Linked DNA regions of Drosophila melanogaster. The protein of the gene in region 3 purifies or fractionates together with the protein of the main gene of each other region. This does not show direct contact. Each region holds a gene or a part of one and is shown on either strand. Other genes may lie near its edges.

What was found.
Region 1: the proteins of Mapmodulin (region 3) and AhcyL1 purify together in Drosophila melanogaster (affinity purification with mass spectrometry, with the first as the bait; one large-scale study listed by BioGRID). This does not show direct contact.
Region 2: the proteins of Mapmodulin (region 3) and CG8745 purify together in Drosophila melanogaster (affinity purification with mass spectrometry, with the first as the bait; one large-scale study listed by BioGRID). This does not show direct contact.

The regions. Positions count from the first base shown.
Region 1 is NT_037436.4:2,767,944-2,774,203, forward strand, and holds AhcyL1 (adenosylhomocysteinase like 1), read right to left. Parts: upstream 4,383-6,260; 5' UTR 3,847-4,382; coding exon 3,325-3,846; intron 2,549-3,324; coding exon 2,099-2,548; intron 2,035-2,098; coding exon 1,441-2,034; 3' UTR 523-1,440; downstream 1-522. Other genes in the region: Non2 (putative nucleolar protein 2), read left to right, coding at 1-59; CG12093 (uncharacterized protein), read right to left, coding at 4,665-5,103, 5,162-5,361, 5,456-5,959. UniProt on the Drosophila melanogaster protein: Might play a role in the regulation of methionine metabolism possibly by binding and inactivating Ahcy.
Region 2 is NT_037436.4:13,860,869-13,868,703, forward strand, and holds the start of CG8745 (uncharacterized protein), read right to left. Parts: upstream 6,038-7,835; 5' UTR 5,824-6,037; coding exon 5,735-5,823; intron 4,568-5,734; coding exon 4,449-4,567; intron 1,286-4,448; coding exon 1,051-1,285; intron 931-1,050; coding exon 1-930.
Region 3 is NT_033778.4:17,865,985-17,873,992, reverse strand, and holds Mapmodulin (mapmodulin), read left to right. Parts: upstream 1-1,977; 5' UTR 1,978-2,088; intron 2,089-2,331; 5' UTR 2,332-2,616; coding exon 2,617-2,664; intron 2,665-4,135; exon of another isoform or gene 4,136-4,966; intron 4,967-5,184; coding exon 5,185-5,561; intron 5,562-5,623; coding exon 5,624-5,706; intron 5,707-5,904; coding exon 5,905-6,210; intron 6,211-6,433; coding exon 6,434-6,667; intron 6,668-6,739; coding exon 6,740-6,783; 3' UTR 6,784-7,674; downstream 7,675-8,008. UniProt on the Drosophila melanogaster protein: Implicated in a number of cellular processes, including proliferation, differentiation, caspase-dependent and caspase-independent apoptosis, suppression of transformation (tumor suppressor), inhibition of protein phosphatase 2A, regulation of mRNA trafficking and stability, and inhibition of acetyltransferases as part of the INHAT (inhibitor of histone acetyltransferases) complex.

The DNA.
Region 1 (6,260 bases), on a different chromosome or scaffold from region 3:
TCCGCCGCTTCCGCACCTTTGGCATGCTGAAGCATCTCAAGCCGCACTTTCTCGATTAGATCAGATCCGCCCTCCGATCCTCTCCAGATGCAAATATATGTGTATGCCTCTCCGCCAGCCTGGTTTACCAATCCCCTGTAACTTTCGGCTCCGCCTGGATTTGTTTGTTCCACAACCTTTGATTAAGATTTAGTTGACGCATGTGTTTAGCATTACCCTAATTAGGACGGGTTTGCACATTATGCACTTTACGGCATTTTAGGAATAGTTCAGATGAACGGAAAATTACAAAAAAAAAATCGATTATAATACATAATGTGTATGATTTTTTTTATGACAAACTCGTGTAGTTTACATTTTATAAAATATCAAAGAAAAACATAACAAGTTTAAGGCAAGTACCGAGTAATAAAAAGAGAAATAGACGAGTGATGCATCTGAAAAATACGAAAGCAACTTTTCCTGGTTTTCATTTCGACGGGGCTGCTGGGGGAGAAATCAATCAGTGGAACAGATCTAATTGCTCAATAAAGAATCCCTTTTTTATTGTTTTGCGTTTCTCACAAATTTCTTACAAACATTTTTCACTTTTTCTAATATACATATTAGGTGTATATGCAGTGTATATATATATATAATTCTCGATCTGATATATATGCCAGCGTGTATATAATTGAATAAATGGAATACCTTGCACTGCTGTTCCATTAACGCTCTCGGGACGAAACGAAAGTACAAAAGTATAATCATAATCATAAGCGGGGGCCATAAACATTAACAAATTAAGTACGTAAACAATACGAGAGGTTAAATCGATCACTTATTGCCCAGCTGTCGTAGCTCAAAAAAGGGATTAGTCAGGAAAGTCGTTAACATTAAAATGTACATGGATTTCACGCGAAAAAGTTATAGAAATGTAATGCAAATATGCTAGAAACCATTATACAAGTCAATTCCCATTAAATATATTATCAATTCCGAATTAGAAGTATACATTTAGAGAACTAATCGCGTCTTTTGAGCTACTGCAGTCTGATTGACAGGCGTTCGAAGTATTTAAAATAAATTCAAGTAACTGGCTACAAAAAATGTTGATGGGGATAAATTCTTGGGGCAAGATTAGTTTTGGGGATTAGAGAGTCATGTTGGATAGGTGAACGGAGAGAATACTCCTGCGGCTAAAGCGAGTGCTAAATACTATGTCGAAGACTTTAAATGCTAACGAAAAGCAACCAAGAATTCCGCTCGAGCTAAACTAAGCAATACAATGGTAATAGTAACTTTGTGTTCTCCTTTCCGTATCCTTTTGTGTTTTCCGTGTGTGTGTGTGTCAACAATTGTTTTAAATAGTTTTACTTCTTCGCAAAGACAATACTTTCGTTGGCGTTGTTGTTTCTTCTAATTGCTGGTGTTATTGTCCGCATCCGCCCGCCTTGCGTCCTAGTAGCGGTAGTAGTTGGGCTTGAAAGGACCGGCCTTGTTCAGTCCCATGTACTTGGCCTGCTCGTCGCTCAGCTCCGTCAAATGGGCATCGAAGGTGGGCAGGTGCAGGCTGGCAACATACTCGTCCATCTTCTTGGGCAGCAAGTAGACATCCGACTTGTAGCGTCCGGGCGGGGCATTGAAAAGCTCGATCAGGGCCAGGGCCTGGGTGGCCGAGGTGATAGACACGGCGAACGAGGGGATGCTGGAGCAGCTCAGATTGACCAGCCTGCCCTCGGCCAGAAGAATGATGTACTTGCCCTCCGGCCAGATAATGTGATCCACCTGGGAGCGCACCTTCTCCCAGGTCAAGTCCGGTGTGCGCAGGCCATTCACATCGATTTCCGTGTTCGAGTGGCCCATGTTGCATACGATGCAGCCACTCTTCATCTTGTCCATGTGCTCGCGCACCACCACGTTCTTGTTGCCGGTCGCCGTCACCACAATGTCTACGTTGCGGATCACCTCGTTCAGCTTGACCACACGGAAGCCATCCATACTGGCCTGCAGGGCGCAAATGGGATCGATCTCTGTGATGTACACAATGCAGCCCTACGATTGGAGATTGAAAAGGTGACAAAGGTATATCATACTAATGGTTGTGGGTGCCATTTACCTGCCCCTTTAGAGCCTGAGCACATCCCTTGCCCACATCGCCGTAGCCACAGACCACGACCTGCTTGCCACCGAACATCACGTCCGTGGAGCGCTTGAGGCTGTCCAGGATGGATTCCTTGCAGCTGTAGAGGTTGTCAAATTTGGTCTTTGTCACCGAATCGTTGACATTCATCGCCGGCACTGTCAGCTTGCCGGCCTTAGAGAGCTGATAGAGACGGTGCACTCCGGTGACGCTCTCCTCGACGATTCCCTTGACCAACTTGAACATGGTCGGGTACTTTTTTAGCATCAAGTGCGTGGCATCGCCGCCATCGTCCAGGATCATGTTTGGCTGCCAGTTCTCGGCGTTAACGCAGCGATCTATGCACCACCAGAAGTCCTCTTCCGTCTCGCCGCGCCAGGCAAAGATCGGGATTCCGGATTCGGCCAAAGCAGCAGCCACTTCGTTCTAAAAATAATAAGCAACGATATTGAGTTGTTTTAATAATGACAGTCCTTGAAGGCTAATAAAATGATTGTCAAACAGGTAAAACCCTCGAGAGTTGGCCTGATAAATCGAGTCACCCTAATGCGGCGTAAACATTTGCTAATATCTGACTTATATCGAGCTGATAACGCATCGGGCTCCATTCTCGCTAAGCACGGCACTCGTAGCTTGGCTGATAAGTCCCAGCCGATACAGGTGAATCAGCGTGACAGGCTGTCGGGGGCCGTGGGCGATAAAAGCTGGCACGGATGGGTGCATAAATGATCGGGGAAGGGCGCTCGCCCTCGCACTCGCATCGCTTCATTAGAGAAGCCATAAATTGTTTAGCGTCAGCAGACTCGTGATAATTGCATCAGCCACGCCGCAGGAATAGGCAAACAGATCGAGTAACCGCAGCCGATCCAATGCTGGAACTAAAACTGCGTCCGTAACTTCCACTCCCAATGGTATGGCGACCCAATTCAGGGCACATCAATTACTCAGCGATTGCCAAACACTTGAGCCGCGGGCGCTTAATTGATTAACATGGCTTGATTGATCATTTGTTTGCGTCGCCTGGCGTGACAACAATTGTCTCCAAGCGACCGAGCAGATCAAGTGACCGAGCACGCATATGCATATGAATTTAAATAAATATAGGAAAATGAGTTAAGATATCTCTTAAGAGATTCCATTAAATGCATTAAGCAGCCTATGAATACGTAAGAACCCTATGACATTTTCATACGACATCTCACCTGCGTGGAGTAGATGTTGCAGGCGGCCCAGCGCACGCTGGCGCCCAGTTCCACCAGCGTCTCGATGAGCACGGCAGTCTGGGCGTTGATGTGTGTGCAACCCACGATCTTGGCATCCTTCAGAGGCTTGTCCTCGGCCGCCCGCTTCTTCAGCGCTATGATGCCCGGCATCTCCTGCTCCGCAATCTCGATCTCCCTGCGCCCAAATGCATGCTGGGCGCCTATGTTCCTTACACAGAAATCGGAGCTGCCTTTGGAGTTCTTTTGGACCTTCTCCCTGGGCGGCACGTCGTCGCCATCCTCGCTGCTGCCCGTGTAGCTGGCGGAGCTGAAGGAATCCGTTGAGGAGGCACTAAGCGAGCGGCTCCTGTACCGACTTGTCTTCTTCAGAGCCGAGGACTGCTTGGTGGCCGGCGGAGGAACCACCACGCTGGCATCCTGCGGCGCCGGTCCAGCCTGCTGCTGCTTGTCGCCGCCTCCGAATCCAGGATCAACTACCACAGTGTCTGCCAGGTTGTTCATGGTGGAAGTAGAGGGTAATCTGGGGATTTCCTTACTATCCCTTAAATTGGCTCCTTGCTCTAGCTCCTAGTGTTCCACCTTCTGCGACTCCAGAGCTTGCAATCCTTTTCCGCTGCTCCTTTGAATGGGCGCCTTGGATGTTATGTAAAGTCTGAAATCCAAGCAGGATGCGCTGCAAATGGCTAGTGGTGTGGCCTGGGTCTATACGAACTGCACAATCACGTGATTTATCGACGTTGTGGAGACCACAAATTGCTAAATTAATTGTTTTTAGTGCGAGTCTCCTTTGTTTCACCTCTCCACTATTGTTTTTGTTCTTCTTCTTCTTTTGCGAATGGGGGGCTACACTTTGGATCCGGGGCTTGATGGGAGTTTCCGGAGAGGGGATGATGATGCAGCCGTCGGCTTTCGGGCGACGTTGTTTGTGTGGCGACCAAGTGGGGGATCGTTTGGCGATCGCTTATTGAATTTGATTTTATCCGGAGAAAAGAGAACTAAACCGAACCGAGGACAGTAAGCGAGACACGCGAAAATACCAAAAGCAGAAGGCGTTAGTGCTATTCTGCAAGTGTGGTAAGTTCCCACTGAAGAAAGGCCAAAGTAACGACTTTTTAACTGAAATCGTCTAAAAATTAATTTTTATAATTTCTTACCATTAATTATGTGTTTATTTTTTAATGAGCAAAGTAAATAAAGTGTGATTTACAACTCCTCAGCTGCAAGTCTTTTAAATCTGGTAGCTGGATAATTTAATGAGTCAAAAAGAAATTGGCAAAGTATTCGAGGTTTATTAAAAACAAATAGTTAACACATTTGGCCTACATATCCTCCTGTAGGTAGCCGCACAGCTCGTAGTCGTCCGCCGTGTTGACCAAGTGCGCTTCCCTAAGAAGGCCCTCCTTGTAGGTCTGTCTCTTGACAATCAAACGCGACAATTCCTCCGGTGCAAGTGGTCCTTGCTTGGCGTGTTTCTGGATGAAGTCCGCCGCCAGTTGTCGATCCACGACGGACATCTCGAGGCTGCGACTCCAGGCGAGCAGGGCCAGCGGTCGCTGCGGACTCAGAGCCAGCGAGGGTGACACCAGATGGCGATACAGACAGCCACCCACGATGTCTTGCAGCTGCTTCACTTGGCCGGGAAAAGCGCAGGGATGGTAGAGCATTACGATGGCACCTTCCGCCAGATTACGCACGTATCGCTGAGGAGGCAAGTAGGAATAGGTGCCATATTCAGCGGGCATCGGGCGATAGGGGCCACTGATAATACAGATTTGAATTTGAAATTAGCAGGAAACTATAATATTGTTCGCCTTACTTGGTGGCAGGCAGATGGGAGTAGCTAATGGACTCATTAAGGCACTTGGCAGGCGGCAGATAGGCGCTAGGTAGAAAGTGCTCCGTAAGAATGGCTTCTCTGGACAAATCCGGTTGGTACAAGCTGTGATTACTACTGATGCATAGGAAATTCAGGCTGTCACGGATGTCGTTTGGATCGAAGTCCACGGCAAGATTGCTCTGAAAATTGTTAATAACAATGATAGAAAAAGATGACTAATACTAAGCATTCATCGGTATTTAGGGGAAGTATTAGTTATATTGCCAAACTCACCTTGCCATCATCACAGCTGCTTTGTTTAGTCTTGTGCGATTCATTGGGACCCTGCGGAAACAATTTACCCTGCCAAGTATCCTGTGTGGTGGACTTCCCCGACTTGGTTTTGTTATCGACCAGCGGTTTTTTCTTCACCAAGTGCGGCTCTCCGGGAGCTTGTGGAAACCACTTGCCCTGCCAGCCATCCTTGGTTGTGAACTCCAGCGGAGGAACTTCCTCCGTGGTGCTCTTCATTTTTAATTCAATCGCTTCCTGCTGTTGTCCAGGGGCATGGGGAAACCACTTGCCCTGCCAGCCATTCTTGCCGGGCGTCGCACCTAATGGAACCTGCACACGTTGCACATCATTGGAAATGTCGGGTGGGGACTTCCCAATCTTCCCTAGCTTCTCATCAGGATCAAGAGTTGGCTCCAACAGATTGGCCTGCGACTTCTTGATGGATTTCGCATCGATGAGGGCGAACCCAAGGCACAAGAGGGTCAAGTAATGCCAAATAAACATAATAATTGCAAGCAAAAGAAAAACAAAAGCGCAAAATAAGCAAACAAAAATATAATTAAGAACTTGGCAAAACAGCTGTGGAGCTGCGTTTTTCAACACTGGTCAAAGCATGACTTTGTTGCAGGGTAGCAACAGGTTGTTTGGAGTTTGCATAAATCTCCGATGATAATTATGTGTTGTTTTAATAACTAAATTAAAATTATTTACGCCAAATTAAAGTAAATAAAGTTAATTTAAAATGACTACTTAAATCAAGCAGATTTAAAAGGAAATCAATGTATATTTGAAATATTCAGACTGG
Region 2 (7,835 bases), on a different chromosome or scaffold from region 3:
GCACTGGCCAGCCGCTCCTGCATCACGGCGGTCAAGCACTCCCGGAATCCCAGCAGGAATTCATCTGCATTCTCCCGGTTGAAGCACATGGGTGGCTTTAGCTTGATCACGTTATCGTTGGGACCGTCGGAGGAAACGAGCACCCGGTGGAGCTGCTTCATCCGGTTGACCACCCAGTGGGCAGCCTTCTTGTCGGGAATACGCTCCTTCCGATCCTGGACCAGCTCTATGCCCACGAAGAGTCCAGCGCCTCGCACATCGCCAATGCACTCGAATTCTTGCTTCAGACGATTGCACTCCTCCAAAAGATAATCGCCCAAAACAAGAGCCTTCTGTTGCAGACCCTCCTCCTCGATAACGCGCATCACTGCATTGGCGATCGCACAGGAGACCGGATTGCCGCCATAAGTGTTAAAGTAAGCAACTCCGGTGGCATGGAAGGCCTGAGCGATTTCCGGAGTGGTAACTACCGCACCCACCGGATGTCCATTGCCCATGGGCTTGGCCACACACACAATATCGGGGATTACGTTTTGGGTCTCGAATGCCCAATAGTGGCTGCCCACGCGTCCAAATCCCACCTGAACCTCGTCAGCAATGCAAACGCCTCCGGCAGAGCGTACCGCATCGTAGACTGCCTGGAAGTATCCGGCTGGTGGCAAAATCTGTCCACCGCAACTCTGCAGACTCTCGGCAATGAAGGCGGCGACGCCCTGTCCTTTGGCCAACTGCTTCTGGCAGATCTCCTCGATGGGCTGAGCATACAGGGCACCCATGTCAGCATCCGGATACATCTTGTCCGTAAACTTTCCGCCATAAACGTCCGGGCACGGCGCCACATGCACGTAGTCGGGCTTGGCCTCGCCGCCGGGCTGGTTAAATTTGTATGGAGACACCTCCATCACCGACTGCAGATGACCATGATAGGCACTGTAACGAAATAAAAGAAATTAGCATATTTTTCCATAGGTGTTCAAAATAAATATTAAGCAAGCCAAAATCATTTTTTCAAGCAAATTTAATCTCTAGAATCAAACAGAAGAAACTTACTGGTCGAGAGTGATAACATCCTGACGCTTAGTAAAGTTGCGGGCCAATCGAAGGGCCAGGTCATTGGCCTCGGATCCGGAATTGACGAAGAAGCAAACGGACAGAGGCTCCGGCATTTTGCTGGTCAACGTGCGAGCACACTGGACCAGTTCGTCGTGGAGGAAGCGGTTGTTCGTCGAGATGGTGGCCATCTGCAGGGCTCCAGCTCGCACCACCTCCGGATGGCAATGACCCACTGCAAAGATTGAGGTCAAATTTATAATTATTGTATAGTTTTTAAATAAATATATTTAAATTGTTAGCAAGTATTAATAAAAGTAAAATAGATAACCATATTGTATAACTGAATACCAGGCACCCTCTTTAACTAATCAAATTGCTAACTCACGATGGAGAAATAAACCCAAAAATAAAGCTTTCAATTAGCGCTACTGACCCAACGAGATTATTAGATCAAATTTATAGATAGATCAACCCAATAGTGATAAGCTTGTACTGAGGGTGTGGCTAAAATTAGGCAAGTCGCGCACGTGATTTTCCCCTAACCACTTGCTTGCCCGATCGTTTGTGCAGCGCTTCACATATAAGCAGGGCAATCTGCCACGATACCGAAAATAAAACGCTTTCAGACAGGCCCGGATCCATTGGGCTCGGCGTCGCCATCCGTAAGTGTATCGCTATTCCGTAGGCGCCGACGGATGGGCGATAAGCCCCGGGACCCGGACCACTCCGCTCCCGTCGACGGCGACAGATTGCGACGTTTGGGGGTCAACTACTCGTTCCGATTGCGTTTCTAATTTCGTCTCGTACTCGCATTAGAATCATTTGGACTTGGACTCACACACGCCCCCGATAAGACGTAGTGTTCTGCGAGGCAGGTATCACGTGAAGTTCACGCGATGCCTTCACGTTTCTAGTTTCCATATCAGTGGTATGAAATTAAATGGTGTATAATAGACTGACTGTTTCTGTTTCATACGCTTGCTGATTAGGTTTGGAATGATCGAAATGACCATGGGGGAATCTCTGCACTTTGGTTTTTAATTATGTCGAGGGAATAGAAGTACAGTTATGCTGGGAAAAACTAGCATTTTTAGAAACTGTTTTGAAAGAGCGTTACTAAGCATATCTCAATGTGTATTCAAATAACTTCATCACTAGCTATATTGAAAAACTTCAGTTAGGGCTCGTTCTAGATCGTATACTTTAAGTGATGAATATTATTAATATGCTCTTCATCTTCTATAATTCATAACAAGCCCACCCACTTGTTTTCCTCTTTCGCGATCAGCAAATTTTCTTAGTTTTTCGCGACATTGTCGACAATCTACAAGTGGTCGCTATGACATGCTTACACTTCCACTTGCTCTTCTCTTTATATCGCCTGTTTGTACGACTTTTCACAGCCCGCAGGCCCATGGCTCGGGGTGTTTTTCCGACTATCTGCTCAGAATTTTCCACTCGCAATGTGTGCTGAGTGGCACAGCTGATTGCTCAGATCTCGTGGGGTTGGGGCACTACGAGCACAAATATTGAAAAACTAGACTACGTACGGACATATGGGCTGCACGACTGTACGCCTTGTGTGCTCACCCCGGGGCAGCCCCGCCCCCTTTTTTCGTACTGTGCCCGACCGCCTATCTCGAGTACATTTCCACTCGCACGAGACGTTCACATGTTGCGGCCTGTTGGACACCCGGAGTGGAAAAAGTAGCACGAGATTACGAGGAACGTGGTTTCTAGTTTCATAACAACTTGTTATTCAGATCGTCAGATCGTCCACACGTGCCCCCGCCACCTTATCATGGTTATAGTGCTACATGTTTGCTTGAGGACTGATTTCACACTTTGTTATTGATGACTTATGGGCATAGCCGTAAGTTACGTGCCTCTGCACGGACCCAATATTACGTTCTGAATGTGAAAGGGCTAACTATCAGTCGTATGAAGATCGTAAGACTTGTTCCGAGGTTGATTGAGTTTTGCGATCGTCTACGAAATGTGCAACCGTCTAAGTGGGTCATTAAATGGGGGAGCACTATAAATAATCCCAATATCCATCACCAAGTTTTTGAAAGTGTTTTGATATAAAGGGACAACATCTATTGATTGATTTATTGATCAGTTGATGGTGCAAACACAATCAGTTGACTATCTCTGAACTGTAAACAGCTTTACCTTTTTGCACCCTTCGATGATAACCCTTATTGGAATATTGTTTTCGACCCTGTTGATGAGCCCCCTTAGGTGGCAATTAACCAAAAGGAAAGCTATTAATAAGCGCTACAGTCGACGTTATCAAATCTCATTGGGTTGTCAAATCTATTTCATCTATATTCAGTACATTCGCAATGCCAATGGCCTCATCTTATCAGTGCGGCAAGCGTTAATACAAAAGGAAAAACTAATTTTATAGAAGGGCAGCTTTTCAGAAATAGAAAGCCCTGAAAATAACTATTTATTACTATATATGTTTTAAGTATTATTTAAGGGCATGTAATATAACTTTACACATATAAAGTTATAATTAATAGTGATTTTAGGCTAGGAAAATTGCTGCCAACAAAACCTTGTAAATGGAAAATTTTCCGTAGCAGGAAGTGTTTTGGACAATTACAAACAAGACGCAAACAATGTGAGCTACCTAGATCCCAGAATCAGCAAATTGGCAAATTGGTTGCCGACGTCAATCTTCGTTGTTTTTTTGTTATTGTCGTTGGGCCACCGTTGTTGATAAGTTGATATGGTTTGGATGGTCTGGATTTGACTGGGACCCCCTCGGTGATATATATATACATATATATGTATGTGTACGTAATACGTATTGTATATTTTACGCAAATGCGGTCCCTGGCCATTTGTTATTATTGTGATTGTCTTGATGGCAGTGCTGTGTTAATCACTCATTCTATATCTATATATATCTAGTTGAGCACTCAACCTTGAACTTGCGTTGCCAAACGCTCCAAATAGCCGCAGTGCCACATGCACTTTGCATCCGTACATTGGCCATTTGACGGGCGTGTGCCACTGCTAATCAGCATAAACAGAAATAGGATCCGTCAACGACCAAGTGTCGACGTCCGGACGGGAGGTCCAAAATAATCGTCATCAGGCCCCGGTTCCAAAATCGCAAAACATGACCTAGCAACGTACTTAATGGCACCCCTACTTTATTATAACAATTTTTTATTGCAGAAATGGCGACGAAATTATCATTTTCTGCGCCCTACACCACCGTTTTCTTCATCTTTTCACCTAATTAACAATATTTTCGAGATGAATAATAGGATCTATTACATATAAGAGCTGGTTTTTTGATCTATTGATCTTACGCATTCTGTAGTCCTACAAATTTTTACATATTTTTCAAATTTAGTTTTGATAGATTGACTTACCGTGGGCTACATTGTTGATGCAGTCCAGATACCGGGTGCCCTCCTCATCAAACATATATTGACCTTGACCGCGCACAATTTTCAGGGGATCAGAGCGATAGAAGAGCTGGCAGGCTTGTCTGCAGAAAAAAATGCAAGTTATTAAGTAGGTTAATTAGGTGGATGGCAAAGTTGCTAGCTAAGCTAAGTGAAGTCATAAAATCCAGACAATGTAAAAGGCAAAGACGTATATGTGACGATAGTTATACTATTAACCGGGGCCTATTTCAACAGTTCACAAATATACGACAGAGTAGTGAGTAGTACTCATTATCACCAAGATAATCACTGTTCCCACTGCCGTGTTTAATGGTTATTGTGTTTGTGTTTGTTAGACAAAAACAAGGCGTCTTGCTGTGTTTGATAAACATTTTAGGGTTGACTTTAGGCAAACAAAGAGAGCGGGAACGCAGCTGCTAACAATTTAATGGGGACAAAAAATGCACTTTGATCCGAACTGCATCCTAACCATTTGAAAATCATAATTATTAGCTACTTGAATTTAGCCTGATCCATATTTAGTTTAATATGGTAAATCAATAATTGTTCGCCAATAATTTGGAAACATGAAAGTGATAAAACCGAACTGACGTATTTTGTAAAAGTTCAGAGTCATAAAAAACAGGCCCCTTTTGTTTTCGAATTTCTCGATTTATTGCTAGCAATTTGTAATTCATTTCACAAGCTACCTAGCCTTTGTTCTTTTTTAAAATATTCCACAAAATGGAAAATTTGGATTGATATTTTTCAGTCAATTTAGATTACAATATATATGTAAGCGAGAACAAATGTGAAATGTATATTGAACGTGATTATCAAGTGCGAACACTCTGCCTAGCAGGCCCTTTGAATTTATTTTTATAAAATTTCCAAATTGGTTTTATAAATATTTTTATGCAGTCAGGCGATAAAAAATCAATATGGCCCAAATCTAAAAAAGCGCCGCTGTTGCACGACTTTTTTCCTGCTTTTTTTTGTGCACTTTTTTTGTTATATTATTTCCTTGGGTGGCGGTGGCGGCTGTTGGCAACAGTGCCAAAAATACAAAAGTACAAGAAAATCGGGCGGCCAGCCGTCCAATGCGAGCGAAAGAGAGGGCTGGCGATGAGTGGGCCGAGTGGGGGATGCCGCCTGACCTTGACAGCCAGAGCGAATTCAAGGCAAGGTCGCAGGCTCACGACCCGGACCAGGGATTACGAATACGAGCGAGGATAACGGCGTAAGGACCACGAAAGGAAGCCACTTACCCGATGTGCTGGTTGCGCAGCTTGATGGTCTCCGTTTTGCTCAGCTGCTCGCTGGCCACCAGATTCAGTTGCTCGTGGGCGAAAGGCATTTTTAAGATATATTTTGATTTTATTTTGTTTTTTTTTTTAACTCAGTTATTTAAAATCGGCAGAAAAGCGCGCACTTTTAGAACTGGCAAGTGACTTGATTTAAATTAGCTTTGAGCCGTGTGTTGAGACTGGAGTCCTGGCAGGATAATCGGTGCTCCTGGACAGTCGCTGGCAGGCACGGTCGCCTTTAACGTCTTGTTTGAAATTGTTGCCGAAGCAAGTTTCGTTCTCGCTTATAAACACACACAGCGGCATATCTTGCCATCTCTCTCTGCGAATTCGAACTCGCTCGCGCCTATCGATTTGTCGATTATTCATCGCATTAGAGTCCATTTGGGCGCGATAATTTGAATTATATAGTAATGGTAAATAAATAATAGTATAAAATTGTAATAGTAAATAAATACTAGTAGAAAATTGTAATAGTAAATAAATACTAGCAGTAAATTGCAATAGTAAATAAATACTAGTAGAAAATCGTAATAGTAAATAAATACTAGTAGTAAAATGTAATAGAAAATAAAATAGTTCGAAAATAAATCTATCATGGTACTTTTAGCTAGAATTGAAAGTTACATCTTTTATCCTCCATTAATAGACGAAAGTGTAGCCAGCGAATTCGAGTTTGATGTAGTTCCTAGAATCTAAAAGTATCTTTAAGTAATAGCCCCAAACAATCCAAAGCCACGCAGATCAGCGGTCGAAAATATCTATGTCGGTTATATAAAAAAACGTTTTCTTTTTATTTTTCTTTTGTTTTTTTTTTGCTGTTTTCTTTATGTATATGTAAATACCAAGGACAATATCATTTGTTTTTCACTTTGTTGTTTGCAATAATATAATTAATAATATAATATTAAATCAGCGCTTTTTGTGTTCATTTTCATTTCAATTTATGTATACCGTTATCTTTTGCTATGCTAATGCCTTAAATTGGTTTGTATTAATTTCGATAAATACAATTATTTTATTAATGTTTCAATAAATTTTTGAATTATTCTTTAAATGTTTAACTTTATATTTGTTCATTTATAATTGTTCTTTACAATATACACAACTGAAATACTTTTATTGGAATTGTTTATCATTAAACACTAAGCACTAGTTTAGCTCGATCTTTTGCGTTTATGCCTGGTGTTTTCTTTCCTAATTGTCATTTTGAATGGGATCGGAGAACAGAATAGAATGTAGGTACGTTTTTTGGTTTTTTTTTTCCAGGGGATTTTGTCTCGCAAGCAAAGCAAATTGGCTCTAAAAAGCAATGGAACAAATATCTAGGCATATAGAACTTGTACACTATCTATAAATATATGTTCTTTGGGTATGAGAATTTTCCTATGTACGATTTCTTTTGTTTTGCATTGTTTTGTGGTTCAGTGGTTCTTACGGTGCTTCGTCCTGCGTCCTTTTCAATAGCTTTCTCGATTCAAGGATGTATGATAAAAAATATAAAAGTGAGCATTGAATGTTTCCTTCTCTCTCTATATATGTAGTATATCTAGGTATAGTACAAGTTCGTGTTGAATTGTATGTGTTATAGTGTCTATATAGCAGATACAGATATATAACCATTTCTTGTTATGTACTAGGTGGCACAGTTTGTTTTTGTTGTAGTTGGTTGTTGGTTGTTTTTGTGGTCTGGTCTGAATTCATTAAAGGTTTTTGGGCATTTGATATATATTAGTTGGGGTTCTCATAATAAGGATCAACTGAAAAGCGAGACCTGGAAATCATAAGAGTTCTTTTGTTATCCGGTAATATACACAATCATACATTTTATATGTGATATATCGATATATCTACAAATTGGATTATCTCTGGTTAAAAGTCTAGCTCAATCTTAATCGTACAACAAGTTTGCTTCGGTTGAGGCTTTGCTATTCGGTAGTTTAGCTATCCATATTGACTATAACTAACAGCTATTGCTATTTACGATACGATAGTTCCGTGGTACATGGTTGTGGATCTATATGGTATGGTACATATACGTTTCTATATGGTATTTATAAGC
Region 3 (8,008 bases):
GTATGCGCTATACCTTTCGCCACGTCCGACTTTCGAAGCCACTCAACAGCAACTGTTGCAAATGTCGAAAAGGCAACTTGTGGCTGCTGCTTTTCGCCTCTGTCGACGTCGCAGCATCTCTTTTTTCCCGAGCTTTTCCGAGAGCTTTTCCTCGCACCACGGCAAACTGTTGATTGGTCTCCTGGATGTGCGAATGTGTGTGCGTGTCTTTTGGCCAGAAAGAGAGCACAAAAGAGAGTCCATCGTCGACGGCATCGCCGTGCTTTACTTAGTTAATTAGTACCCATTCAGATGGCAGTAAACAGTAGTTAGTTCCTGTTAATGGGCCTTAAAATAAGTCATTCAAAATGGCATTAATAAGTGCACGGAAATGAAGGTGGTAAGTAATTTTAATTTGAATACATACTTATATCTAAAATTTGTCACTAGAAAAAGAAACAAAAATAATTGTTTAAAATAACTTTAACCTTTTGCCCAACATTATATTGTTGAAAAAGGGGGCTAAAAAAGTAATGTTCAAAGTGGTAATAACAGATACCATCCACACCCTCGAAGTCAACCATAATCTCTCGAAATTTGTTTTCCATTCCGTTTATTTGAACCCAGCACAAAGCCATTAAAGCTGATGTTTACCAAAGCAACAGTTACCAATGGCACACAAGTACACAAATTCTGTGGCTGAAAGAAAAGCTCATCGTGGCACTTGCTGCTATTTGGAGACCGCAAATAGACGGCACACTCGCAGAATTAACGCGCTTTTAATAGATTAGAGCCAAGCGACGGCTCTTCAGGGGCACTTCGAATGGTGCAACCGATGATGCCGCTCAAGGACCTGTGCACCCGATCTGCAGATAATGCTAACAACCTGACCGACACCCGCAACCCGTTCCCACCTTGTTATTAGTATCCCCAAGTGGAGCGAGGACACACGTTTGGCAAATTTGCCCAGCCAGAAGGACGACTAATTGATACGCAAGCCCAAGCTGGCACGTAGGAAAATAACAAAAAAAAAACGCAGTTTACACAGCATTATGTTATAATTGTAATTACATACAAGTGCGATAAACTACTAAAGAATTCATTTGCAATAGAATATTCCCTCAATGTTCGAAACAGATAATATTTTTCCCACTGTGTGCGGCTGAAGTAATTTTTCTTCTTTGATACTGCAAAAACAATTACCTGAATACCTGAATGTTTTCGTATGCTGCGCGGCCGCATTAAGCTCACATTAAAATTATCAGGAATAAAGAGCGGCAGGTAAACGAGGCGAGGAAATCAAATTGAATCGTTTACATCATTTAAAGCTACGCCAAGTTCACGGACACGACGGCAACTTTGCGTCCTTGCGGCCATTTTGTTCAATCCTGTGTACCCATACATACACATGGTTGCTTGTTGGGAAAAGCTAAGGGGCCATGTCAACAGACGGTTAACGCTTTACTTCCTCGAAAGGCGTTCGTTGACTTCGCAGCGTAAAATAAGCAAGCTTATGCTGCTTTGTTCTGTTATTTTTCGCGCTTTTCGCAGGGCTAATTAAGGCGTTCGTCCTTCGAAACGGTAATCCTATATATCCTCGATTCAGCGACCCTGTCTTGCAGCATCGCATTACCGACGGATGCACGCGCTTCTGATTATGCCGCATTATTGCTAACGGCGTCATTTAGTCTTAATAGGTATTTTGAAATGTGATTAACGCTCCCGTCCGTGATAAGCGCTTTAACGTGTGCTTATTACAAATTAAATAGTGGTATACTATTTTGGTTTTAGTGCAGAAGGAAGTTCTTAAATTAAATACATTTGAATTTGGCGCTCAAAAAGCAGACTGGTACAAAATTACAGCATCTAACGGTCGCACTTTAGCGAATACATGCACCTATCGTAGCAGGTACCCACTACCTTCCAAGCTAGTTCGCTCTCTCAACCCAAATTGCCATCACTACTAGACAAAATCAATCGATATATGCAGGGGATAGTATAGGAGGTATCGAACAATCATCAACTGAAGTGCCAGCTCTAGCGTTTTGCTTTGGTTGAAAATACAATTAAAAATTGATTCTGAAGTATTTAAATATTCTGCATCGCCAGGTGAGTGCGTGTTGCCAGCATTGGCATATTTTTCGGCCGGAAAAAGGATTCACAGTCCATTCAACCATCGAATTGATGTCCAAAAGTCGGTTTAAAAAGGCGCGTCATGTGCTGGAATCGAAGAAAATGCGTTACAATGCAGCAGTTGCAGTTGTGCACTTTATTTTTTGTGTTTCAATAATTACCAGTAACTAATTAATTTTCTACCTCCCCCACCCACTCTCCACCCATCTCCCTTTTTAGCCATAAAAATCTGCGAAAACCAAACGGTGGCGGCATCGAAAATACCGAAAGAAGCACAAAAAGAAAAATTTGCAAGGCTGCGTCTGTGTTAGTGAGCGTGTGCGAGCGCGCGTGTGTTGCTCTGTGTGCGTGTGTGTGTTGGCGAGTGCGAGTCTTTTGCCTTCAGTGCGTGCGCTGTTTCTCGTGTGGAGCCCAAAGGAAGAAAAACACACAAAAATACAAGGAATCCGCTAAGGAAAAAAGCGTAACCAAAAAGAACATCCAAAACAAACAAGTGCCGCTGCAATGGAGAAGAGAATAGAACTGGAAAGACGCGCACGCAAAGTAAATCAGGTAAGCTAAATACAAACGATGAAAAAAAACACGCGCCACAAACTTAAATTGAGGTCCAAATTAAGTGACGCTTTCGTGTGTGTGTGCATTATCATGTAAATCTAGTTTCAATTTGTTCATAGACGACATACAAAAAGTGCTACGGAAGAAGCAGCAAAGCGGCATCAACAAGAAAAACGAAAAAAAGAAAAGAAATTGATCGCCATAAGCAAATTCTACACACATGCCTCTGTGTGCGTGCGTGTTTGTATGCATGTGACGCCAGTGTTGCCATGTGCGCGCATTTTTGCGCCTTGCCTGCTGTTTGCTCCTTTAGAATGCAGGTTTTGAATTCGTTTACAAGCTATTACGTATTTAATTGCAAGTCCCTGAGTGATTTTACTGCATGGCTGATGGAAAGCGATCTTTTCGGGCCAGACGAGCTAGAGCACTTGGAATTGTATTATCTCCACAGCTGGCAATGCTCCTCGCTTGTTGTTCTTGCTGCTGCTGTTCTCGTCGTAGTTGTTGTTGTGGTTATTGCCGGCCTTCAATTGTGACAAACACGGGCAACATGTGTTTGTGTGTACGTGTGTTTGACTGCATGTTGTAATTTCAGGTTATTTGATACCAAATTGTATCTATAACAATATTATAGCGCGCGCATCATCCGCACAAACACACGCGTACCACGCACAAAAGATACACATGCATACGTAAGACGACTTATGCACAAAATAATCGACACATAGCATACATATCAGTACATCCATCCATACATATGTACATACATATATTGACTGCGCAGTCATAATACTTTTATGCTCCCCTTCTTCTTTTCTTCTTCTAACGTGTTTACCTGCACGCCATCGCCTCTAGCCATCCCGCTCCCGCCCACTCGAAGTGGCAAAGAAATGCAGGCGAAAAGACAAAGCCGCTGATTAATAAACATGCGCTCTGGCTGGCCGGCCAGCCTACTCAATCTCAATCAGCGGTCACCCAACCGCCCAGCCACCCACTGCCCGCCCAAAATGCACCCCACAACAGCGAAGTCAGCAGAAGACAAAAAATAGCAACGTATACACACTCATTCGCGCCTAAGTCAAAGCCAAACGCTGTGTGCATTCATTTCCACTCATTTGCTCAAATACAGTAGACACTCTCTACTGTTAGCTATATTTTAGATCATTTGCATTCCCCACTTTGGTGCTTACTAGATCGATCAATAGATCGAGCACAACCGAATTCTTAGCCGTGAATTTCATACGAACATTTTTTTCATTTCCAATTTTTATAAATTATACCTTTGGGGAAGTGCCACTTTGTTTCCTTTCCAAGAGTTAAATTTTTTGTTTAAACTACACCATATCCATAAAAAGATTCTTAACATAGTTAAATTGATTCCATTACCAAAAACATGATTTTGAAGTTCATCAAACAATAAGTTATTTATATTACAAAGTATATCAAACCGAATACAGATTAGGTTTTGCAGTCAGTTTTTATTTACAATTTTATATTTTCATATTCAATTTTGTTGATAATTATTAAAAATTGTGTTGAGCTACAGTTAATTTTCTTTTAGGATATACCAAGATTCTTGCCACTTAGAAATAAAATAAATTTGAACCATAATTCAGGTTAGAAAGTGTCCGCTGTAAGCACATAACTGTTTCTCGGCTAGACAGAGACGGACAGACGGACTCTGAAGGCACCCATTTTGTTTCTTTGTTGTTGGTTTTGTTGTGGCGTCGTGACATATTGATAATTGGGTAATCTGAAGTGAACTTGCACAGCCTCCAAAAGGCGTACGTTGTGTACATTTATTCATTTGTAGATTATCAGACCACAAAACACCACCCACTCTCACCCCCACCCACTATTCGCAGACAGGCGCAACAACTAAACTACGTCACGGTCAACCATGTTGTTGTTGTTTTGTTGCTGCGAGTGCCGGCTAGTCTTGTTGTTCCCCTGCCATCTCCCTTCCACTTCTTGATAATTCCGTTTTGCTCGTCATTCTTCTCTTTGCGCATTCTGCTTTGTGTCGAAGCACACGCACACATACACACGCTTGTGGCACACACACATATATTGGGGTTACATAAACGCGAGTTGGCACTTTTTCCTCGTCGCCTGCATTACAAAAATATGCAATTTGGCGATGGAGCAGCAGCAATGTTTACCAAGTCATTTGCATTAACGCCAAATTGGTTATTTTGCATGTAATTTCGTTTTGCATTTCAACAAAAAAAAATTTCTCAGCGTTTGATCGATTTTTGCGTATGTATTGTTCTCCATTTTTTTTTTCTGTTCGCTTTGCGTCAAAAAATGTTACAAATGTGACCAGACTGCGAGGCTTGAATATTCCACAATGAATACATCAAATATACCAAAATAATCGGTATCGTTTGTTCTTGTCTTCAATAACTAATATCGATAAGTAATAATTGGTTTAAAAATTATTCAAAACTCGTTTCATATAAATAAAATGAACTACTTCTAATTTATGTATTTACTCTCAACCCTATTATAACCTAGATCACAGAGCTGAATCTGGACAACTGCCGTAGTACAAGCATCGTTGGCCTTACAGATGAATACACAGCCTTGGAATCGCTTAGCTTGATCAACGTGGGTCTCACCACACTGAAAGGTTTCCCCAAGCTGCCCAATTTAAAGAAGCTCGAACTGTCCGACAATCGGATTTCGAGTGGCCTCAACTATCTGACCACTAGCCCCAAACTGCAATATCTCAACTTGTCTGGCAACAAGATAAAGGATCTGGAAACCCTGAAGCCCCTGGAGGAGTTTAAAAATCTGGTTGTTCTGGATTTGTTTAATAACGACGCTACTCAAGTGGATAATTACCGCGAGAAGATCTTCAAGATGTTGCCATCGTTAAATTTCCTAGATGGGTGAGTTTGAGTAACTTCTTTCTATTGTAGAACAATAAAAGTAACTTCTTGACCACTTCCAGATTTGATTGCAACGACGAGGAGGTGCAATCTGATGGCGATGATGATGATGAGGTCAACGGCAACGATTCCGACGAAGTGGGAGGTGTGTATTCGACGTATTTATAGAGACCAAAGATTAAATCGCAGAATTCAGGAGTTTTTTTTTTATAAAAGATTTCCATGTAACCACCATTAAAATTCCATTGTCCGTCTGTTTAACTTAATCGCTTATTGTGAATCGCGCTTTCTTCGTATTAACAATAATATCATATACTCAACCGTGGCTTTTGTCGCCTTTCAGATAAGTGCAATGCATTCTGTTTAAATGGTTTAGAGATCGATTTAGACGAGCTCGAGGCTTTCGAGAAGCGGGTTAAGGCGAAAAAAAGTTTGCAGGACAAACCACCTCCCCAATCGGAGGACAAAGAAGTAGACGAATTAGATGAATACTTGAAAGAGTTGCAGCTAAGGGAATCTACTGATGCTTCAACCGATGAACAATCTGTGATAAATGCCACACCGCAGCCTCCTAGCAATTCTAACTTAAGTTTTGTAATCCTGCTGTATTGGTTCCTTGCCATTTTAAATTTGGGCAGTGCTACATATTGTAAGCATAACGTTTCTGAACTTTTCTTCAGTATTAGTCGAACTTCTCTAACTCGAAAATGCTGCAGAAAAAGTAAAGATTCTCTTACCCACAAGAAGCGTTATAGTAGTTCGTAGGTTTGTTGATCTCAATTCCGTTGAACACATTAAAAAATCGATTTAGGGAAGTTCGAGATGTACAAACAAGCAAGTTGGTTTAATCAAATTTACCTTTGATTTTTCAGTTTCCGACGAAGATGACGACAGCGATGATAGCGACGAAGAGGCGAATGGTGAAGTGTCCCTGTCGGAGGTGTACAATGACGATTTGGAAGAGGATAACTCTGATTGGGAAGGCGAAGACGAGGCTGGCGAGGAGGACGAGGAAGAGGATTCCGATATTGATGATGCCGATGGTGATGCAAACGAATCGGCTGCATCAGTGAATGCCAAGGACAAGGATGGCGAAAAGGAAGCAGGTAAGTTCAATTATTTATATCCCAGACAGCATTAGTTCTTAATGCCATATATTTTCCTTTTTTTCTTTCCAGACGAGTCGCAAGTCAGAGGCAAGAAGAGAAAGCATGATGGTTAAAACCCTGATCTGTCGGTATAGCGTCTTTGTACGTTATAAATTTAAATATACACCCACACACAAAACAAAAACACACACACACATCATATTTTGATAGAAAAAGATGATAAATCCTTTAGGAAACCCACAATTTGTTTCTCTAAAATGTAAGCTAATGAAAGAAGAAATCGACAAAAAGAAAAAACAACAAACAACCCAAACAAAGAGGAGCATAATGAACGTAATAATCAAACAAAGCTAAACAAGAAAAAAATACATGTTTAAGCGAGAAAAATCGAGGAGGAATGCAAAGGAAACCAAGCAAACAACCAATTAAGCAAGTCGCATTAGTATAGCCTCATCCGAGCCCAAGTTCCAGTTTCATTTTAAACACCTTCGCCATCTTCAGGATTCGCAACATGAAATCCAAATCACTATGTTAAAGATTACACAATTACAACGTGTACAATTTTTAGCCATCCAGCAGCATCTTGTTTTCAAATTTCAATCAGTCACGAAAATCAAACAATAGCTTTCCGGCGTTATTTGAACAACTGCGGATTTGTCAACGTTTCGCGTGAAAACGATCACACAATTTACTGCTAAGAACTTTTAACTAACTCTTAAGTCATTCCTTCTTTAAATACGCATAAGTTAAGCATCCTACTTCGCCCACTTTCTGCTCAAGGCGATTTAAACACACTTACATTGTTACCCATCACCCACCTCCCAGATACACAAACTTTATCTCCGCGTCATTCTGTAAACGTAGAGCACTCACTTTTGAGCAACCCGAATTGTTTACCTTTATATACTTTTAAGTGTACTTTTACCACATACCGAAATGTTTCCACTTATTCATTGGCAGTAGTGTTTTCATTAAATGTGGCGAGTAAATCTTATACACAAAACAATTTTAGACAAGACTTTTCATTTAATACACAAGTAATTAACCGATTATTATTAAAGCAGGCCCCGCGTTAATTTAACGAGATGAGATGTGTCTTTACCAGCCCATTGAAACTGAAATACATAAACTACATCATTTTAAAATTGTCTTTTACGGGGGAAAATGGGAAAATGATTTCTATTAAAGAGAAGAGCTTACGCATATGAGCGTATTTTTTTTTATTTAAATCTCGATATCAATAAAGCAACAAATTGTATCGTTATCGGAAATGAGCATGGAAGTTTAGTATTTTCCACAAGAATTTGTAGTATTTGTGTTCTGATATGAAAACTAGAG